5 linked regions of the Cricetulus griseus genome follow. The protein of the gene in region 2 binds, or shares a complex with, the protein of the main gene of each other region. Links are inferred from orthologs where the notes say so. Each region holds a gene or a part of one and is shown on either strand. Other genes may lie near its edges.

The links.
Region 1: Cacng1 (region 2) and Cacnb3 share a complex: the UniProt entries of both Homo sapiens proteins name them as parts of the calcium channel complex. The link is inferred for Cricetulus griseus from reciprocal best matches to the Homo sapiens genes CACNG1 and CACNB3.
Region 3: Cacng1 (region 2) and Cacna1c share a complex: the UniProt entries of both Homo sapiens proteins name them as parts of the calcium channel complex. The link is inferred for Cricetulus griseus from reciprocal best matches to the Homo sapiens genes CACNG1 and CACNA1C.
Region 4: Cacng1 (region 2) and Cacnb1 share a complex: the UniProt entries of both Homo sapiens proteins name them as parts of the calcium channel complex. The link is inferred for Cricetulus griseus from reciprocal best matches to the Homo sapiens genes CACNG1 and CACNB1.
Region 5: Cacng1 (region 2) and Cacnb2 share a complex: the UniProt entries of both Homo sapiens proteins name them as parts of the calcium channel complex. The link is inferred for Cricetulus griseus from reciprocal best matches to the Homo sapiens genes CACNG1 and CACNB2.

Annotation. Positions count from the first base shown.
Region 1 is NC_048595.1:395,121,447-395,124,576, reverse strand, and holds the end of Cacnb3 (voltage-dependent L-type calcium channel subunit beta-3), read right to left. Parts: coding exon 3,067-3,130; intron 2,896-3,066; coding exon 2,744-2,895; intron 2,505-2,743; coding exon 2,409-2,504; intron 2,317-2,408; coding exon 2,167-2,316; intron 1,771-2,166; coding exon 1,456-1,770; 3' UTR 508-1,455; downstream 1-507. UniProt on the Homo sapiens protein: Regulatory subunit of the voltage-gated calcium channel that gives rise to L-type calcium currents. Increases CACNA1B peak calcium current and shifts the voltage dependencies of channel activation and inactivation.
Region 2 is NC_048600.1:120,670,489-120,673,270, reverse strand, and holds the end of Cacng1 (voltage-dependent calcium channel gamma-1 subunit), read left to right. Parts: intron 1-1,304; coding exon 1,305-1,442; intron 1,443-2,043; coding exon 2,044-2,270; downstream 2,271-2,782. UniProt on the Homo sapiens protein: Regulatory subunit of the voltage-gated calcium channel that gives rise to L-type calcium currents in skeletal muscle. Regulates channel inactivation kinetics.
Region 3 is NC_048601.1:26,325,577-26,329,093, reverse strand, and holds part of Cacna1c (voltage-dependent L-type calcium channel subunit alpha-1C), read right to left. Parts: intron 2,407-3,517; coding exon 2,071-2,406; intron 408-2,070; coding exon 105-407; 3' UTR 1-104. UniProt on the Homo sapiens protein: Pore-forming, alpha-1C subunit of the voltage-gated calcium channel that gives rise to L-type calcium currents. Mediates influx of calcium ions into the cytoplasm, and thereby triggers calcium release from the sarcoplasm.
Region 4 is NC_048600.1:111,151,346-111,155,340, forward strand, and holds the start of Cacnb1 (voltage-dependent L-type calcium channel subunit beta-1), read right to left. Parts: upstream 2,811-3,995; coding exon 2,727-2,810; intron 216-2,726; coding exon 129-215; intron 1-128. UniProt on the Homo sapiens protein: Regulatory subunit of L-type calcium channels. Regulates the activity of L-type calcium channels that contain CACNA1A as pore-forming subunit.
Region 5 is NC_048596.1:218,168,544-218,172,603, forward strand, and holds the start of Cacnb2 (voltage-dependent L-type calcium channel subunit beta-2), read right to left. Parts: upstream 2,802-4,060; coding exon 2,694-2,801; intron 1-2,693. UniProt on the Homo sapiens protein: Beta subunit of voltage-dependent calcium channels which contributes to the function of the calcium channel by increasing peak calcium current. Plays a role in shifting voltage dependencies of activation and inactivation of the channel.

The sequences.
Region 1 (3,130 bases), on a different chromosome or scaffold from region 2:
TCTTTTCTCTGTAACTTGGGGCTTTGTCCAGGATACCTGGAGCCACACTTCAGCCACCCTGTGCCTGATCCTGGTTTCCCTTGCTCATGGTAAGATGGCAGTGATAGAAGAGTCAGCATTTGCGGTCTCAAGGGCTGGTTCAGCTGAGTTAGGTCTGAAGAGGACCACAGAGCCCTGCCCTCCATTTCAGGCAAATACTTTCTTTGCCCCTCAAAGGTAGGCAAGCATGTGAATTCAAGTTGTAGCTACTTGTGGAGCCCTCTGGCCTGAGGCGGGGGCAGTAGGAAGCTTTGACTAGGATGCTTCCTCACTTCTCAGAGCAAGTCTCTTCTGTACTGCTACCTCCCTCCCTCCAGACATCGGGCTTGGGGTGTGGTGTGCCCACAAATACAGTGCCTCTTGCAGTTGCTGTTTCCCCTTCCCAGGAATCCTTGGAGAGAAGGGGCCAGAATACTTCAACTCTGCAGACTTAGGCCACACAGTAATATAGAGCCACACAAGCCAACATACCAGAGACATGCAAGGGACTGTGCATGGTGTTTTATTGGAGATGACAATGAGGTGGGGCAGGTTCTCGATGGAGCATGCTCTGTGGGTCACACGCTAGAGCCATAAGGCAAGGGTAGCCAGGCAGACAGCCTCTGGGGGCCATCCACTGTGTCCTAATATCCTCTCTAACCCTAACTTAACAAGCGGCAGCTATGAGTCAGGGAGCCCTGATCTTGCAGGAGGCATGGAGGGAAAAGAACAGAAATGACAGATGCAAGGGCAAATGAATGAGAAAGGCAAGGGGCCGGAAGCTGTTCCTCCCTCCCCCGCAGTCCAGGCTGGCTTCTGGCTTCACCATGCTCCAGTTCCCTAGTCTTGCCAGATGCTAAGCTTCCTGGTTTGGAGAGGAGGGCCTTTTTCTACCAGAGCTTCCGCTGTGAGTTGTCTGTCCAGCCTCACCTACACTGCTCCTGTCTTAGGTGTAAATGCCCACCCCAGCTGATGGTACATGAGTGCCACCATGTTGAGCTCTGATTGTTTCATTTCTGATGTGTGGCAGTGAGGTGAGTGGAGTACCTTGTTAGGGCTTAGATTATATTGCCATTACTTCCACTCTCCTGTTATTAGAGGGGCATCCATTCTGGTTGGAAGTTCCCCGCTAAGTGATCCTGGCCTGAGATCATTGCCCACTGGGGCAGCTTCTTGTGCAGGTGAGGAAGGTGCCGAGGATGCAGATCACAGCTAGTACCTGGGATGAGAACCTACGGGGTCACTGTGCCCAGGAGGTGAGGGGGCCCCTTGCTTCTCCCAGAACCTTGGGACCACAGTCAGCCCTGGACCAGGGGCTGGGCAGGGGGTTGTGGGAGCTGAACCTAGTGGCAGCCTAATGCCAGTTTAACTCCAACCTGCTTGAGGTGGTTACCCCAGCCGCTGTGCCTGTGCCTGCCAGGGTAGGGCAGGAGGTGGTCAGTAGCTATCCTTAGGCCAAGGCCGGTTACGCTGCCAGTTCCGGTCATTGTGATCGTGCTCCGAGTCCTGGGCTAGGAGCCGGTCTTGGGGGTCGTGCCCATTAGCACTGGGCAGCCCCGAGGTGTGTTGGCGGTGAGGCTGGTACAGGCCCTGGTAGGCATCTGCATAGTCCTCCTCCAGATGGCGGGAGCTGCGCTGTGAAGATCCCGTCCAGGCCTGGCGGGAGCTCTCACTGGCCTCATCTGAGGGCATCAAGCTGTCCCGTTCCAGGGGTGAATGCTCCTCACCTCGCTCCCCCAGCAGCTGCTGGTTCTGGGGGCCACACAATAGCTCTGAGTAAGGTGAGGCAGACCTGGCCTTTGATCCTAGGACTCTGGCAGGGAGGTGGGGTTCTTCCCCCTCTATTCTCAATTCCCAGGTTTTGTTTTATATAGTGCAAGGAAGAAGTAAGCTGGGACATTCTTCTGGGCCAGATAAAGCTGGAGTCTGGGCTCCTGCAAACTTAGGCTCTCCCTGAAAAAGTGACTGGGAGAAAGGTGTGGAGAGAATGTTTCCTTTGACCCTGGAAGGCCCATCTCATTCACTGCTCTTCAATCAGGAAGTTCTTGACCTCCATGCCCTGGGTCTGTAGAGCAAGCTGAAGCAGAGCTGACAGCTCAGCAATCCCTTGCATAAGCCTGCACATTTGTGACCACGGGAAAGGGTTACCTGAAGTCCAGGGATGGCACTAGGAGGACCCAGAAGTCCAGGGCCAGGTGCTGGATGGTGGGTAGCTCGCCAGTAAACCTCTAGATACTCAGCCAGGTGCTCACAGGCGTCCTCCAGTTGGTTCTCATCCAGAATCACATCAAAGGACTCCTGGAGAGGAAGGAGACAGGGAGGTTGGCTCCTCAGCAGCAGCCCCGCAGCTCCTGCACCCTGGAATAGGTGCTGCTGACCCAGGCACTCACCGGGGGGCACTGAACCAGCTTGTCATATGCCATCATCTGTACAGTCAGGTGCTTCATCTGTGACTTCCCTCGGGAGCGGATGAGTCGCTGGAGTACCTGAGTAGGAGGGCAGAGATAGGCTAGAGTCTCATGGGACTTGGGCAGAGCTGGGCCTGGAAGGAACTAGGCACATACCCAACTTGCCGTACGACATTAGTAAGTAGCAGGTGAGGATGACTCAGTGTGGTGTTAAGGGCGCAAAGGAAATGGTCACTCCAGGTAGGGCCCAAGCAGAAGTGCACTATTTTCTAGGGGGCATCTTCTGTGGGACCCCAATTCACTCCAGTTTCACTTACCTTTGGTGAGGATACTTTGACAAAGACGATGATGGGGGCCAGCGAGGTCTTGGCTAGCTGTGCTGGGTGGTTGATCGTATCAGCATCCAACACCACTAGCTGCAGGGATTTGGCCAGCTCGAAAATGCGCTCAATCTCACTCTGCACTTCAGCTGAGGAAGGGGAGCAGCTCACCAGGGGTTCTGCCCACTGCTTAATTCAGGGCTTTGAGGGTTGCTATATGGTGGGCTGGAAGTGGGCCGGGCAAGAGGGCAGCCCTGGGGCAGGCGGGGGAAGAAAGGAAGGGAGACATCCTGACTAGAAGTGGGAACAAGAGTCCTCACCAATGCTGGAGCGGGCAGAGGAACGCTCGATAATGGTCCTTTTGCCAGGGTTGTTGAGCACAGA
Region 2 (2,782 bases):
CAGTTCTGGGTCCAGGTACTCAGAGGACACTTGTTGGTGTAAGGGACAGTGAATTCCACAGACTTGCTGGCAGGCTGTAAGCTGCAGCAGGAACATATTCCATCCAGCAGAGCCAGAGGGCTAAGAAAGTGGTACAGGTTCTCACAGTGCTGGAGCAGGGTCATCGGGTGGGTGGGTGAGACGCTCAGTGGGGACAGTGGCAGTCCTGCCTACACTTACTAACAGCCCTCCGAGCTGAGGAAACATGGTATTCCTGCCCTTCATCAAGAGAACTCAGAGATTTCATCAGCAAGAAGAGCCTGGGCTGTGTGGGAGCAGGTGGTTACACAGTGTACAAGAGCTGACAAAGACACACTCATGCACACGCTAGGAAATCCTCACGTGTAGTCACGTGCACACACCAACAGATTCTCAGGCACAGGGCACACACACACACACTGAGAATCTTAGTACGGGGAACACTTATGCATGCATGCCTGCACACACAGGCCAACAGGGCCTCATGCATGGGGCACACATAAACACTGAGAGCCTTGGTACAGGGAACAATCACACGTGCATGCATATACCATCAGATCCTCATGCATGAAGAATGCATACACATTGAGAGCCAAATGGAAGGAACGCACACACTTGTATGCACACACAGACAGATCCTCATTTGTGAGGTATATATAAGTGCTGGCAGCCTCATGAGCAAGGCACACGTGTGTGCTTCCACATATGCTGATATTCTCTCTCTCTTTCTCTCTCTCTCTCTCTCTCTCTCTCTCTCTCTCTCTCTCTCTCTCTCTCTCTCTCTCACACACACACACACACACACACACACACACACACACACACGATTCTCCCATGCAGACATGGCACATACTCTGATGGATTCTTAGGCAACCCACACACGTCCTCACACTCACATGCTAGGTAACACCCACACGCTGTCAATCTCCCAGAGTTCCCTTGTCAATCTAAGACAGACCACCTACAGCTCAGTGCCTCCTTCTGCCTGTCACTCAGGAAGGCTTTGGCTCTAGGAAAGTCTCTAGCCACAGGGTGTCCTGCCTCCTTCTGAGGCCTTTGCCTCAGGGAACTTTGCAGTTTAGCGCCCTGGAAAGACACAGGTGAATCCATCCTATTAGCATCTGGCCTCACTCTTCCGCAGCAGCACCTGACTTGGAAGGAGTAAGAAAGTGAGCGAGCCTTAGTCAGGTGTGAAATGGGAATCTAGGCTGTGGGAGCTCACTAAGCAACCTGACGGTGTGAAACGCCTGGAAGGCTCTGGTTCTGAGGCTGCCTCTGTTTTGCAGAGTACAGCATCTCAGCAGCGGCCATCTCCATCTTCAGCCTCGGTTTCATCATTGTGGGCTCCATCTGCGCATTTCTGTCCTTCGGGAATAAGCGTGATTATCTGCTGAGGCCAGCATCCATGTTCTATGCCTTTGCAGGTAGACTGGGGTCCTGCAGTGTCTGGGTGGGAGGGGACTCCCTAGGGCTGCCCACTCCTTAGTGCTCCCCACTCCTTAGTGCTCCCCACTCCCTAGTGCTCCCCACTCCCTAGTGCTCCCCACTCCCTAGTGCTCCCCACTCCCTAGTGCTCCCCACTCCTTAGTGCTCCCCACTCCTTAGTGCTCCCCACTCCCTAGTGTACCCCACTCCCTAGGGCTCCACACTCCACACTCAGGCTCCACACAGGAACAAACTCAGAACCCTGGTGACCCCAGGAAGGCTACAAGGGAGAAAGCTTGCTTTGTTCCCTTTGCCCCACAATGTACCCTTAGGAGGAACACTGAGAAGCCTCCCCAGAGAGTAATTAAAAAAAGAAGGAAGGAAATGTGGCCAGTCTCTGGCTAACCCCCTGCAGGATGTGAGAACTGCATAGTGGGAATTGGTAGGTAGGCATGGATCATTTTTGCAGAAACCACATTAGAACCATCTAGAAGCATTTTTCTCTCAGGACCAGCTCAAAGTCAGGGAACAGAGGTTGGGGGAGGATTGGAGTGGCAGCAGGAGCACCGTCAGTCACTGAGACTCTTGGATTTGTCCCAGGGCTCTGCCTCATTGTCGCTGTGGAGGTCATGAGGCAATCGGTGAAGCGTATGATTGACAGTGAGGACACCGTCTGGATCGAGTACCACTACTCATGGTCCTTCGCCTGCGCCTGTGCTGCCTTCACCCTGCTCTTCCTCGGTGGGCTGCTCCTCCTGCTCTTCTCCCTGCCACGGATGCCCCAGAACCCCTGGGAGTCCTGCATGGACGCTGAGCAGGAACACTAGCTTTGGGAAGATCAAGCCCAGACAAGAGTCTTTTGGAGGCAAGGAGGAAGTTTTCACATTTACCCTGAGCCCTTGTCTATCATGCTCTGTCCTCTCCCTCTGAGTTCCTCTACAAACAGTACACATGGACATGAACTCAAACCTGCCCAGGGTCAGAGGAAGCAGGCAGGCGAGAATCTGAAGGGCCCTCTCTCTTAGGCCTACCCAGCTCAGGCTCGCCCACCATGGCTGCTGTTTGAAGAACTGGTCTGGTCATCTTTAGAAACCTTCCAAAAACAGCCTGTACTCATTCACCAGTTCTGAGCTTCGCCAGCTCCTCCCCCACTCTTCTCCACCACCATATGAAAACCTTTTCCATGATCTGAACATCCTTCCTTGGCTTCCAGGATCCCCAACAGACATTTTTTAACTGGATAGAATCTGTGGTTTGAAATAAAAGATCTCAGAAACTTCCCTTTTTCCTTTGTGCCTTGCATAGCAATTGCTAAGATTCCTGGCACCCTAAACCCTGG
Region 3 (3,517 bases), on a different chromosome or scaffold from region 2:
TCCGGTTACCTCCAGGTCACGAGAACAGTGAGGCACTTCTGAAACGAACCCATTAGGAACATTGAAACGAATAAAAAACACCCGCGTCTCGCCAGCCCCGTGGACTACAGGTTGCTGACGTAGGCCCTGCTGTCCGGGAGCGCCTCCTCGCTCCGGCCTCGCCCCAGGGCATATGCGCAGCTCTCGTCCTCTGGGACCACAGCCCTGTCCTGCCCCGGGTCCCTGCAGTTCACAAAAGGTAAGAGGGTGCCGTTGGGGCTCTGCTGGGCGCCCCCACTGAGGATGTTGTCTGCCGCATTCTCCATCTCCTCTATCGTCATGTCACAGGCGTCGGCCAACTCCTGGGTGGTGACCTCGATGAACTTGGGATCTTGAGCAAACTGTCCCAGTCCTTCTGAAATCAAGACCTGAAAAGGCGGGGCAAGAAGACAGAAGAGGGGCGTGGTCACTGGAGTTCAAAGTTCCCTAAGGATGAAGCGGCAGGCTGCTGAGAAGCAAAGCATCTGTGTGTGTACATAACATGTGCCGTGTGTGTGTGTGTGTACGGATGCATGGATGCATGCATGTGTGTATGTGGGGGGTGTGTATGCGTGTTTGTGTGTCTGTATTTGTGTGCTAAGAGGGACACTCACTGGAGAGTAGAGATGGGGTATGGATCAAAGGAAGTGGGCGTGCACAGATCAGAGGAGGGAGCTTTAGGCAGGCGGGTTCAAACAAAACGAGGAGGAACTTGCAGAGGAGCTGTGTGCGGACTCCCCTCTGCTTTTCCGCAGGCAGATCACAGCCTGCCTCCTTTTCTTTTCTCCTCTCTGGCCCCCAAGCCATCTTTCACGTTGTCGTTTCCAAGAAGCCTTCACTTTCATTTGGTGATAACCACTGCCCCCACCCCGGCCAGCTGTCTGCAACTCCAGGGCTCCTTGTGTCGGATGCATGGTCTGCTTTTGTTTGGGAGCATGTGCCCACCCTTCCTGCTGGCTGCTTTAGCGACTGCTGAAGGAAGACTCCGAAGTCTCTGAGCTAAGGGGTAGAATATGGCAGGCAGGGCGGGTCTTTTTCTCCCTCGCCCCTGTTCCTCCCCCTCTGCCCGAGTCACTCTCTCCTCACCTTGCCTGACTTTTCTACTGCTACCCCGCCTGTTCCAGCCCTAGCATGCTTATTTTTTCACCTGTTTGCCCTCACCACCACAGTGGGAGCTCACAGAGAGCTAAAACCCATTTTCCCAGAGGTCTCACTACACCTGAGTCTCTGCACCTAGTAAGAGTCTCTGGGACTTGAGATGAGCAAGAACAAGCAAGCTCAAGCGAAGACTTAGCCTTTCCGAGTTGGAAGGACCAGAGTTACTTGACTGAACTCCACTCCCAGGTCCATCTGACCACAGGACAGACGCAGCCACAGCTTGATGGCAGAGACTGACTCCCTTACAGTCCTCTTAGTGGGGACAGCTGTGTTGGCAAGGTCTCCCCTCCACCGGTTCTCCTAGGAGATGGTTTCTAAGGACCTTGCCACACTCGTTGGGGTTTGTTTCAGTTTGTCAAAGGCTCCAAAAATGAGATGCTAGGGTTGGAATCGATGCTCCTCGGGGCAGAGGACTTGTGACACTGAACTCTCTAAAGGAGGAACAGAAGCCAAGGAGAAAAAAATTCCATCTTATACTTGGCCACTCATGCGTTAGAGTCACTGGGAGCCCTGACAACGCCTGTTTCCTCTGGCAAGCTTCTAAAGCTCTGGGGAGCTGTTCTCCTGAGCAGTGAGAGTTGAGCACACTGAACCCTGGCCCTCTTTGTAGGAACAAGTCCCAGCATGCGTGAACACTGGGAGGCAGCAGGGCCTTTCTTGGGTTCACTGGCCCCGTGCTTTACTAAGGACTTTCTCCCTGTTCATTACACCCAGTGGCTATCAACTTGTATAGTCATGGTTGTGATTTTCTGCAGGCCAGGCCTTCCTTCAGCAGTTCCCTAGTTTACACACTTGACACCTAGTCTACTTGGGAAGGAGCCAGGATTCCACATCTGCACAAAAGTCTCTTGTTTTCTGGAGTCTCTCCCTCCCCAGGAGTTCAAATTCACATACCGCTTCCACCAGGCTGCTGGCACTGCCATGGAACTGTCTCCCCGGAGCTCCAGCCTGGCTGGGCACGGTGAGGGAGACAGGCCGGGCTCTCCGAGCCATGCTGCTGCCCCCACTACAGGCAGTGGTCTCGTCAGACCAGGAGCTGCAGGGGATGGATGGGAAGCTGCTGTTGAGTTTCTCGCTGGACTCAGCCCCCTCCAGTCGTAGGGTGGGGATGGGCTGTAGGGGCCTGCCCCGGCTGCCAGGGGTGACAGGGGGTGTGGGGCATGCCCTGGGGATCTTGGTAGGAGAATGGCTTCTCTGCAGGAGGGGACTCAAACCTGCCACTGCCAATGCCTGTGGACACAAGAAAAGGAGTTACTAGGAGGGTCAGCCCTCTGCCTTCGGAGTAACTTTGAAGCTAATATTTCCCAGTGAGTTCTGTCTAAAATTCTCGAAGCTCAAATCCCGTCTACCTCACTGAGACTTGGTATAGGAAATATTTTAGTGAGCGTTTCCTTTGACATGATGCATTTCCCTCTAGCTTCAGGACCTTACAACTGAGTGCAATCCTGATCATCCACTGTGTAGACTCTGCCACCCATATTCTCTGGATTCAGTCACTCTGGCTTTCCCATTAGAGCAGAGAGGACAATGATGATGTGTTCTTCACAGAGCCAGAATTCGCCAGTGCCCTCTCAATGCACCGACCTAAAGGCCAGTGTGAAATAAGGTTTTTGAGGTATAGTGTCTATCATTAAGACCTAGACAAAACCAGTAGTCATAACATCATTATTTGAACTTTTACCATGAAATAGGCCCACTGATAACGCCCTGTCAATCTCAAGCAGGGTGTTTTGACTCCTGTTTAACATTAGACTGATTAACGATTCCCATGTCTGTCTTCTCCATCCCCAAATGCTCCAGAGAATCCTGAGGGTAACCCTGCATCCCCACTGTCACTGTGACTCTCTGGCACTGTCCACTGCTCAGATGGGATGTGTTTGTTGAAAAGAATGACACTGTGTGGTGGGACTGTTCATCTCTGGGAGACAGAGAGAACAGGTTGGAGGTGGCAGAAGGACACAAAGAGAAACCTCATTTTCCACCAATGGGCACAAGGGCACATGGACAAAACCAACTTGGAGGAAGCTTTTAAAATAGACCATATAGTGTCCCTATATCCTGCTTTCCTTCCCTCTCCCCAACTCATGGAGTCCCCAGCTTCTGGGCACCTGGAAATGTAAGGGAAGCATAAAGCTATGTTCATTATGTTGGAACAATGACAGTATCATGACAGTAATCCCCATTTAGACAGGGTTTTGGCCTTTGAGTTAAAGTTGTATCAGTTTATAAAACACATTTGTATGCTTGTGCTCACACACACAAACACATGCACACAAGTACTAACATACCCACACATATGTATACACACATATAATCACATGCACACACACACACACACACA
Region 4 (3,995 bases), about 9.5 Mb from region 2:
GGGGTGTCAGAGTGTTGTGGTGGTTCCAGGCAGGTGACAAACGATATGAGATGGGGTGCCTGGAGTAAGTCGCAGGCCAGCCTGCACCAACCAGCTGCATCTCCTCCCAAGCCATCATCCCCAGTTACCTGGCGGACAAAACTGTTGGATGTTGTATCCGAGGATGTACTCCCATCAGATCTTTTGAACCGCCCTTTTCTCTTGCTGTATTTGCCCTGGAGAGGTGGGGAAGGAACAAGAGTGAAATCAGAAAGACCCTTTCCCAGTTCTCCTCCTACAGGGGCTTGTGCTAAGGGCCTAGCCCCGGGACACTCTGCTCTGCCTCACCCCTCTCCTCTCCTTCTAGAGGTGGCCAGCCTGAAAGGAAAAAGGGTCTTCCACCTCACTGACACCAGACAACAGCCACCGGGAAGAACCGTGCAAGAGAGCCTGGGCGGCACACACAGGGATCCCCAAATCAAGCCGAAGGCTGGGAAGCAAAGGGCCTGAGAAATGGGAGGTTCATTAGACAGCAAAGCTAATTAAGATGCTGGGCAGGCTGCAGCAGCCTCGGGGGAAGGGAGAGGCTGCCTGCAGTGCTGGGGGTGGAGGAAGAGAGGGGGATGTCCTCTCCCCTGCATCTGGAGCTGAGGGGGCAGAGCACGCTGTGCCCCCAGAGAGAGGAGGGAAGGCAACCCAGGGCCAGGCTCAGTTCCTCCCCTGAGTCCAACTCTTGTGCTTTCTGCTTTCCAGAGTAGGGAGGGTAAGACACTCTCAGCTCGTGAGGACCCAAAGCCACATTTCTGGGGAAGGAAGAGGAAGGAGGCTCAGAAAGTAAACATCAACCTGTGGCCTGGTGCCTGGGGAGTAGGTTCTGCTTCTCACTCTCACCTCCAGCCTACCAGGACCTTCCTCAGCCTCCCTCCTCCTCATCAGGGTTTATATTCCTCCCCAAGGTAGGATCCACCCTACTTCCACCCCAGCTGCTTCGGCCCATGCCCCCTCCCCACAGTACTAACCCTGCCCATCAATCAAAAGGCCACTTTGGCCCCACCCCAAGCTGAGACTGGAACATAGTCCTGCCAGTCCCAGGTAAGATGGCTAATCAATCAATCTTACTGGACTCTTACTGGGGTGGGGGGTTCCTGCCTGACCTCTCAGAGGCCAAAGGTATGGACCAAGGCTTCACGAATCTCTATGCTTCCTACAAGTGAGCTGCTTCTTTGCTCTCTCTCACTCCCCCCCCACACACACACACTTGGCCCTTGCCCAGTACGAATGGGCAGAATGTCCATCCAAGAGCCCCTGCCCCCAGACTTTCTTTGACCAAAGACCCTAGAGGAGCCTCAACCACACTGCAGCTCTGGCTCCTGAGACCTGGTAACAAGGAGGCTGGATAGCCAGGCATAGTAATCCCCACACTGTAATCTCCACACTTCCAAGGTAGAGGCAGGAGGATCAGTAGGTTCAAAGCCAACCTAGAGTACATAAGATCCTAACACACACACACACACACACACACACACACACACACACACACACACACACACACGCTCTTCCATGATCCTCTCTCCTTCTTCTTTCAAAGTGGACTTACGGCCAACCTAGTTTTGGGTCGCCCTACAAACCTAAGAGGATCCCCTAGTGAACCTCATATTCTTACACACCACTACCCTAACCCAGCTGAGCAAAGGGAGTGGCCTTCAGAGGGACAGGGGACAGCTGAAAGGAAGGCATCAGTCAGCTGCTTCCCAGGCTGCAAGGGGCCTGGGGTGGAGGAATGAGGTATTTTTAGGTCTGACCTGACTCCCCCCAAACACACCCTTCAATCACATCCTGGTGCTTACAGTTGCTCCACTCTGGCCACAGCAATGCAAGAGTTAATGCTATCCTTGGAGAAGGACAAGTCTGAGAAAAATCCCCTGGCATGGCCACCACATACCCTCCTGGTCATTCTTTGGGGACTTTCTATGTACAAGAATGCCCCTACCTGGGGGTAACCCAGGGACCATAGAAAAAGTGAGAGGGGGGAAAAGGCAGAGCCCCTCCCCCAGGTAAAACAGCTTCCTCCCCTCCAAGACAGTGAGTTGGCACCCATCCAACTTTCCAAACTTCGGAGGCTCCCACCCCTTGGGGCAGGGGGAGGGGTAAGCCAATGTGGGTGTTGGGGGGAGGGAAACATCCAAGGGAGGGATGGAGGCCAGGTGACTAGGCAAGGGCCTCCCAGGGCTGATGCCTTCTCCACCTTCGAAAGCCAGTGTCTGAGCCTTCGAAGGCCTGTTGTCAACGCCCTCTGACCATCGTTTCTGCCGTCTCCCAGTACTACCCCCACCCCACCCACACCCGCTAGCGCCCCCAAACGTGCTCTGCGTCGCCCCCCTCGCCTGATTCGCTCTCCAGCTTCCCTCCAACTCCTCTTCTCAAGGCCTGGATTTCCCCCACCCCCCCATCACCAACCCCGTGTCAGCCTGCCGGAGCCTGTACCCCAGCAGCAGGGACCTGGACGCCGGAGAGACCTGGAGGCGAGGCTGACAGGCATCCGACCCACCCCCTCTCCGCTCCGCAGGACCGCAGCCCAACTCCGACCAATAGTCAATCGATCATTAACCCTTGAGAATAGGGGGTCGCGCAGATACCCCTCTCCCACCCACCGGGGCATATAACCCTTTCCTTCCCGGAGCTTCTCGAGCCAATCCCAAGGTCCGCAGGAGCGGTCCCTTTCCCTCGAGCCCGGCACCTCCCCTCACCTGTGGGCTGGGGTCGAAGACCTCCATAGGGATCTCCTGGGAAGGTGGGTAAGGGCCCCGGGACATTCCGCTCTTCTGGACCATGGAGAGGATCCTCCCGTCCGGCCGCCCGCCCGGCCCAGCCGGGCGCTCTCAGCGCATAGGAGAGGCCGTCTGAGCTGAGAGCAGCGCGGCGTCGCGCAGCCAGCACCGGGTGCAGTCGCCCAGCCCGACCTCGAGCTGCACGCTCGCCGCCTTGCCGCCCTCCCGGCTCGCGCTCTGGTCTCTGCGGCCGTCTCCGCCGCTGCCTCCGCCCCTGAAGGCTCAGCATCTCCCCCCGCCCCTCCCTCGCTCCCGCCCCGCGCCGCGGCCCCGCCCCTCGAGCCCCTCCACGGGTTGCGCGCAGACAATGGCCGGGTGGCGGAGCCCAGCTAGCCTCCTGATCCCAGAGGGGCTTGACCACTGTCATCCGATTAGCCTAGGTTGATGGCAGCCTGTAGGGGACCAAGGGGAAACCGGCCTTGAGGCTGGGGTGGAGGTGGGGGCGTTTACCAATGAGTACCAAACGCTGAAGCGCAGGTTGGCCCGGCTGGCACTACCTCCCTTTCTGTCCCAAACTACTCTCCCAGCGGGTCTCCCTGACTGACTCCTGCTTGGGCCACCGGAACTTCCCGGTCCCGGTGATCCTGGGACCTAGCTTTAACTCCTTTCTCCCCAGTGTGAGAACAAGGCCGCCATGAAACCAGCAGAGTAGACCTCCCTCTCCAGCCTGGCTCTAGTGCTGTTGGCTTGGGGCTGAGGATGGTTTGAGTGTCCAAAGGGAGAGGCCAGTAGGGACAATAGGAATGCTGTCCAGGGACCCAAGAGTGCTTCTGCCTCATCAGTTACTAAGGTCCCCCTGTTGCTTAGAACAGAGAGGAAACAGAAGGAAGTATGAAGATGAGAGAAGGAGAAAGACTATTCAAAATCAGATGCCGTGAACGTTGACCTAGGATTGTCCTTCCTTTACCCTTGACTGAGGAACAAATGTCCCAGGTCTGTGGCGAGGAATAGGATCCTAGCAACTCGACATTAATTGGGCTCAGGCTCTTTCTGGTTGTGGGGTATAGCCTGCCTTTAATCCCAGCACAGGGAAGGCAGAGGCAGGAGGATTTCTGTGAGTTTGAGGCCAGCCTGGTCTCCATAACAAGCTCCAGGACAGCCAGGACTACACAGAGAGACCCTGTCTCGAACAAACAAGTCATTCTCCGTGCTTCAGTTTCCTTTCCTATAAATGGTGTTGCTGGCACT
Region 5 (4,060 bases), on a different chromosome or scaffold from region 2:
TCTCTATCCCATATCCGTGTAGTCCTGGCTTGGTGTTTAAGAAGTCTGATGATTACAAGCTTACCTAACATAGCCATGATCTTTTCATCACTTTCGAGTTTAGACATTTTTAGCCCTTGCCCAAAGTGTTGAATATCTATTAACCCCACCCCCTTTCTTGCAGCTCTGCCTCTGCACTCTCAGAACATTCTCTGTGGATCTGGCCAGTGAGCTGTCACGTGGCTCCGTCTCTGAACCTTTTCCACAGATCTGTTATTCAAAGTCTCCAACATGTGACTTCAAATAGCCTTTCCAACCTGATGCCTGGCATTACCCAATCAAACGCTTTCCCTGCTTTCCACACTAGAGATTACAAGTACACACTATAGAGACATCTAATTTCTACAATAGCTTTACATGTGGCTCCCATTATGTCTTTCAAAGTTTGGGTTGAAATCTAGCACACCCTTTCAAATGCCACTTCCCTTGTCAAATATTGAAGATAACTCAAGACTTACGACCTTTACTGCATTCTCCAGAAGACCCACCGACACAAATGTCTCCTTTGCCACTCATGAAACTACAGGAGTATAAATTCTTTGAAGGGAGAAAATTCTACCTGTCCACTTTAGATTAATTCCAATTTAGATTAATTCCAATTTAGATTAATTCCAATTAATACCCAGCTATATACTGGGTATTTGCTGCCTTGAATTTAATTAGAAATAATCAGGTAAATTAGTGCTCTCACCTAAATACAGTTACTTTTTTCTGTTAATTTATCAACCCTAACTTTGACTGCCAAAATTTCAAAACTCCTATTTTTATGACAAGAATAAAAAAAATTCTTAAAAAAGAAAAACAAATTACGTAAAGAAACTTCAAAGAGAAGAGACATCACAACGACCTTCCTCTCCCAATCTTCAAGCACTTCATCCCTGCACAACCTAAGTCTCTGAGTACATCTTTTAACTCATCTCAGCTGGCAAGTATCATGATAAAATCAGGAGCCTAAAACAAACGTGAGCTCTGTGGGTTCAAATTCAGATCCCCTGGCAGAATCTGGCTGTGAGAGTGCTGGTTAATTACAGATCCCCCACCAGGCTTGTTAGCCAACAGCCAGGCAGACTGAAGCCTACCTACCTGCTTTACCACCACAAAAGAAATGAATTTCTGATTTACAAGTCCATATCGTCCATGTTTTCTCTTTATCTCTAATCAGTGTAAATTGTGCATTCTAAGTTAGAACATGCCGTTTCCAGTGGTCAAAGAGAGCTCAATAAAGAGTCAACAAGATGGCTCAGCAAGTAACAGCAATAGGCAGGAAGCCCTAGGACCTGTACTCAAACCCTGAGACCCACATGGCTGAAGGAGAAAACCCACCGGCCTTCTGCAACTAACCCTTTGACCCAGCAATACAACCTTTCGGCCTGCACACACATGAACACACATGTGAATGAATAGCACCCACGCAAACATGCTCCCAAGCAAAGTCAGAAACACACAGAGGGAGTTCGAAGGAGCTTGAATTATACACATGGGTTACCATTGTCATGGTACAGAAATACTACCAGAGCAGCAGCTACATACATATTTGTGACCTTTCTCAGAATGCCCCACTACTACAGAGTAAACCCTCGTCCCCTGTAGATTTTACGTTATGTGTTAATTATGTGCACACATATCACAGTTTACAACCTGGCAAATGTGGGTGGCAATCAGCAAGCCAAAGCCATTAAGTAACGGGGAAGCACCCTCCTGGACTCACCCTAGTCTCTTCCTAGTACTCTCCAACTAACCCAAGTGTCAGGCCGGAAGGCTTTGCCCCAAGAATAAAAGTTGAGAGAGACTCCTTACCCCAGGTCTGGGGGTGTCTGGAATACCAACTGTACCTGCCAAAGCCTTACGTAAAAGCTACCTTATCACACCCAACGCCTACAACCGACATCTCCTATTTCACAATGAACAGCGGAACAGAATTTTTCCAGAAACCGCTAATACTCATCAGAGAAGGGAACCCAGGAGCGGCTAGAATGGCTTGCCATTTCAGGGTAAACAGAAACAAAAACTTTCTCTCCTCCCCAACTCTCTGCTCTCTTCTTAAAGCAAAGGAAAAAGGAGGTTCAGGGGACAGCTGAACTGTCTGAGTGGCACAGAGTCCCAGGTGCCAAGGGGGGGGGGTAGAGGCTGATCTCAGGGGACAAGGCAGGGGGGTTCCACGCCCATCTCGACCCCTCAGAGCATCCCACCTCCCCGCCCAGCTCCTAGCGGAGGACCACCAGAGGCAGTGGCCGGAAACAGCGCTGCGGGATGCGGAACCCTTTCCCTCCCGCCCGGACTCACGATCTTGAGCCGGTCCAGTCCGCTCGCCTGGTCCATAGCTCTCCATGTGCTTCTCCCTGGCAGGGGCGCGGACCGCCGAGCGGCGTGGCCCGGGAGAAGCCGGGGCGGAGCGGCAGGTCGTCCTCGCCCCTTCCCACTGGCTTTTCAAAAAGCAAAGAGGAAAAAAAAAAAATGGAAGCCGAGCAGAGCCAGGGAAGGCGCGCAGGGGCAGGGTCCGGGTCAGCCCGGGGATGGGGGAGGAGGTGGCGAAGCAGACCCAAACTAGAGGGGGAGGCGAGGTCTGCGATCAGGAAAGGAGGAGGAGGCGGGAGGGACTGAGGTCGGAGCCCCGAGGCTCACAAAGCCAGCAGAAGGCGCGGCGCTGTGGCTACCTGTGCTCCGAGCGCCCCCGCGGGAGCCGCGCTCTCCAGCAGCTCCATCTGGCTCTCCTGCGCCACCGCCGCTATGGGAGGCGACTTGGACGTGTCGCTTTGGACCATCGGCGAAAAGTCGGCTCCAAGGCGGCGAGTCCCCTTCTCCACGCCCCGGGTCCCCCGCTCCTCTTCGCCCTATGATCGGCGGCTCTCAGTGAGCGGGGCGCCGCTGGAGCATGTTGCAAAGCCTAGAGGCAGCGGCGCGGGCACGCGGCTGGGTGGCCAAGGAGAGGGGCTCACGCTCTTTGGGGCCTCGGGGCCAGCGAGCGGCCCAGACGCGGACTGCGGGGCGGGCGGTCTCCCGGGAAGGTCCCCGCCAGGAGGGAGGGCGCTCCGGGAGCGCGAGCCAGGGGGAGGCGCGTCGGAAAGCGAGAGTGACAAGCCACTGCCACTCCGAAAAGTTCCTCGCGGATGGCGTGGGCTCCGACTCAACTGCAGCCCGTCGCCGTGGCACTCGCGCTGGAAAGTTTTTGAAGACGCGAAAGCCAGCCGGGGCTCCCTGGGGAGGTAACAGGACCAGTCGCTCAACTCACCTCCTCTTCCCGGGGACCAGGGGAGGGAAAAGATCCCCAGGGTTGGTCTCTAAATTGACAGTCTCTATGATTCAGAAAAAGCTGCAGACAGACTCCGGAGCCTCTGCAAAAAGCAGCACTTGAGGCAGAAAGCAAGTGCTGTTGATGAACTAAGGCTTCCTCCCACATGATCCTGATCTGACAATTGGCTCAAACCCATGACACCTGTGCCCTAGCTTTTCGCTTTGTGATGACCTGTTTTGTTTCTGTTGTCTTTGCTAGTAGCACTTCTTTGCTAGCAGACTGGATCCCCCCCCCCCCACACACACACACATGGTTGAGAAGTCTTAATGTGACCCTTGAGACAAAAAGAGGGGTTGCACGGTTTTAAAGACCTTGAAATGTTTGACAAGTGGCTAAAGCCAGCATGTTTAGTGTTGGATGGATGGGGAGTTAGGGAGGAGATGGAAGAGAAGGACTATAAATGGAATATATTGTACGAATTTTCGATTTAAAAACAAAGAAAAGGAGGAGGAGGGAGAAAGAAGAGTAATTTTCCATTCTAATATTGACAGCTTTTCGCTTTGTAAGGTGGTTCGGCTCTGACAAACTTTACTGCTCTCTGCACTGGAAATCTACATACAAATTTCCTAGGTGTCAATCATTTTGTAGCAACACAACATAACATTTGTGCAGGCTGCAATACATAGGAGGACCTTTTACTAAGGTAAACTTTTTATACTGTGTTTGACTATGGTGATGAAATAAAGTACCCACTTATCTTAAGGGTAACTGAGATGTTTTAATTAAGCA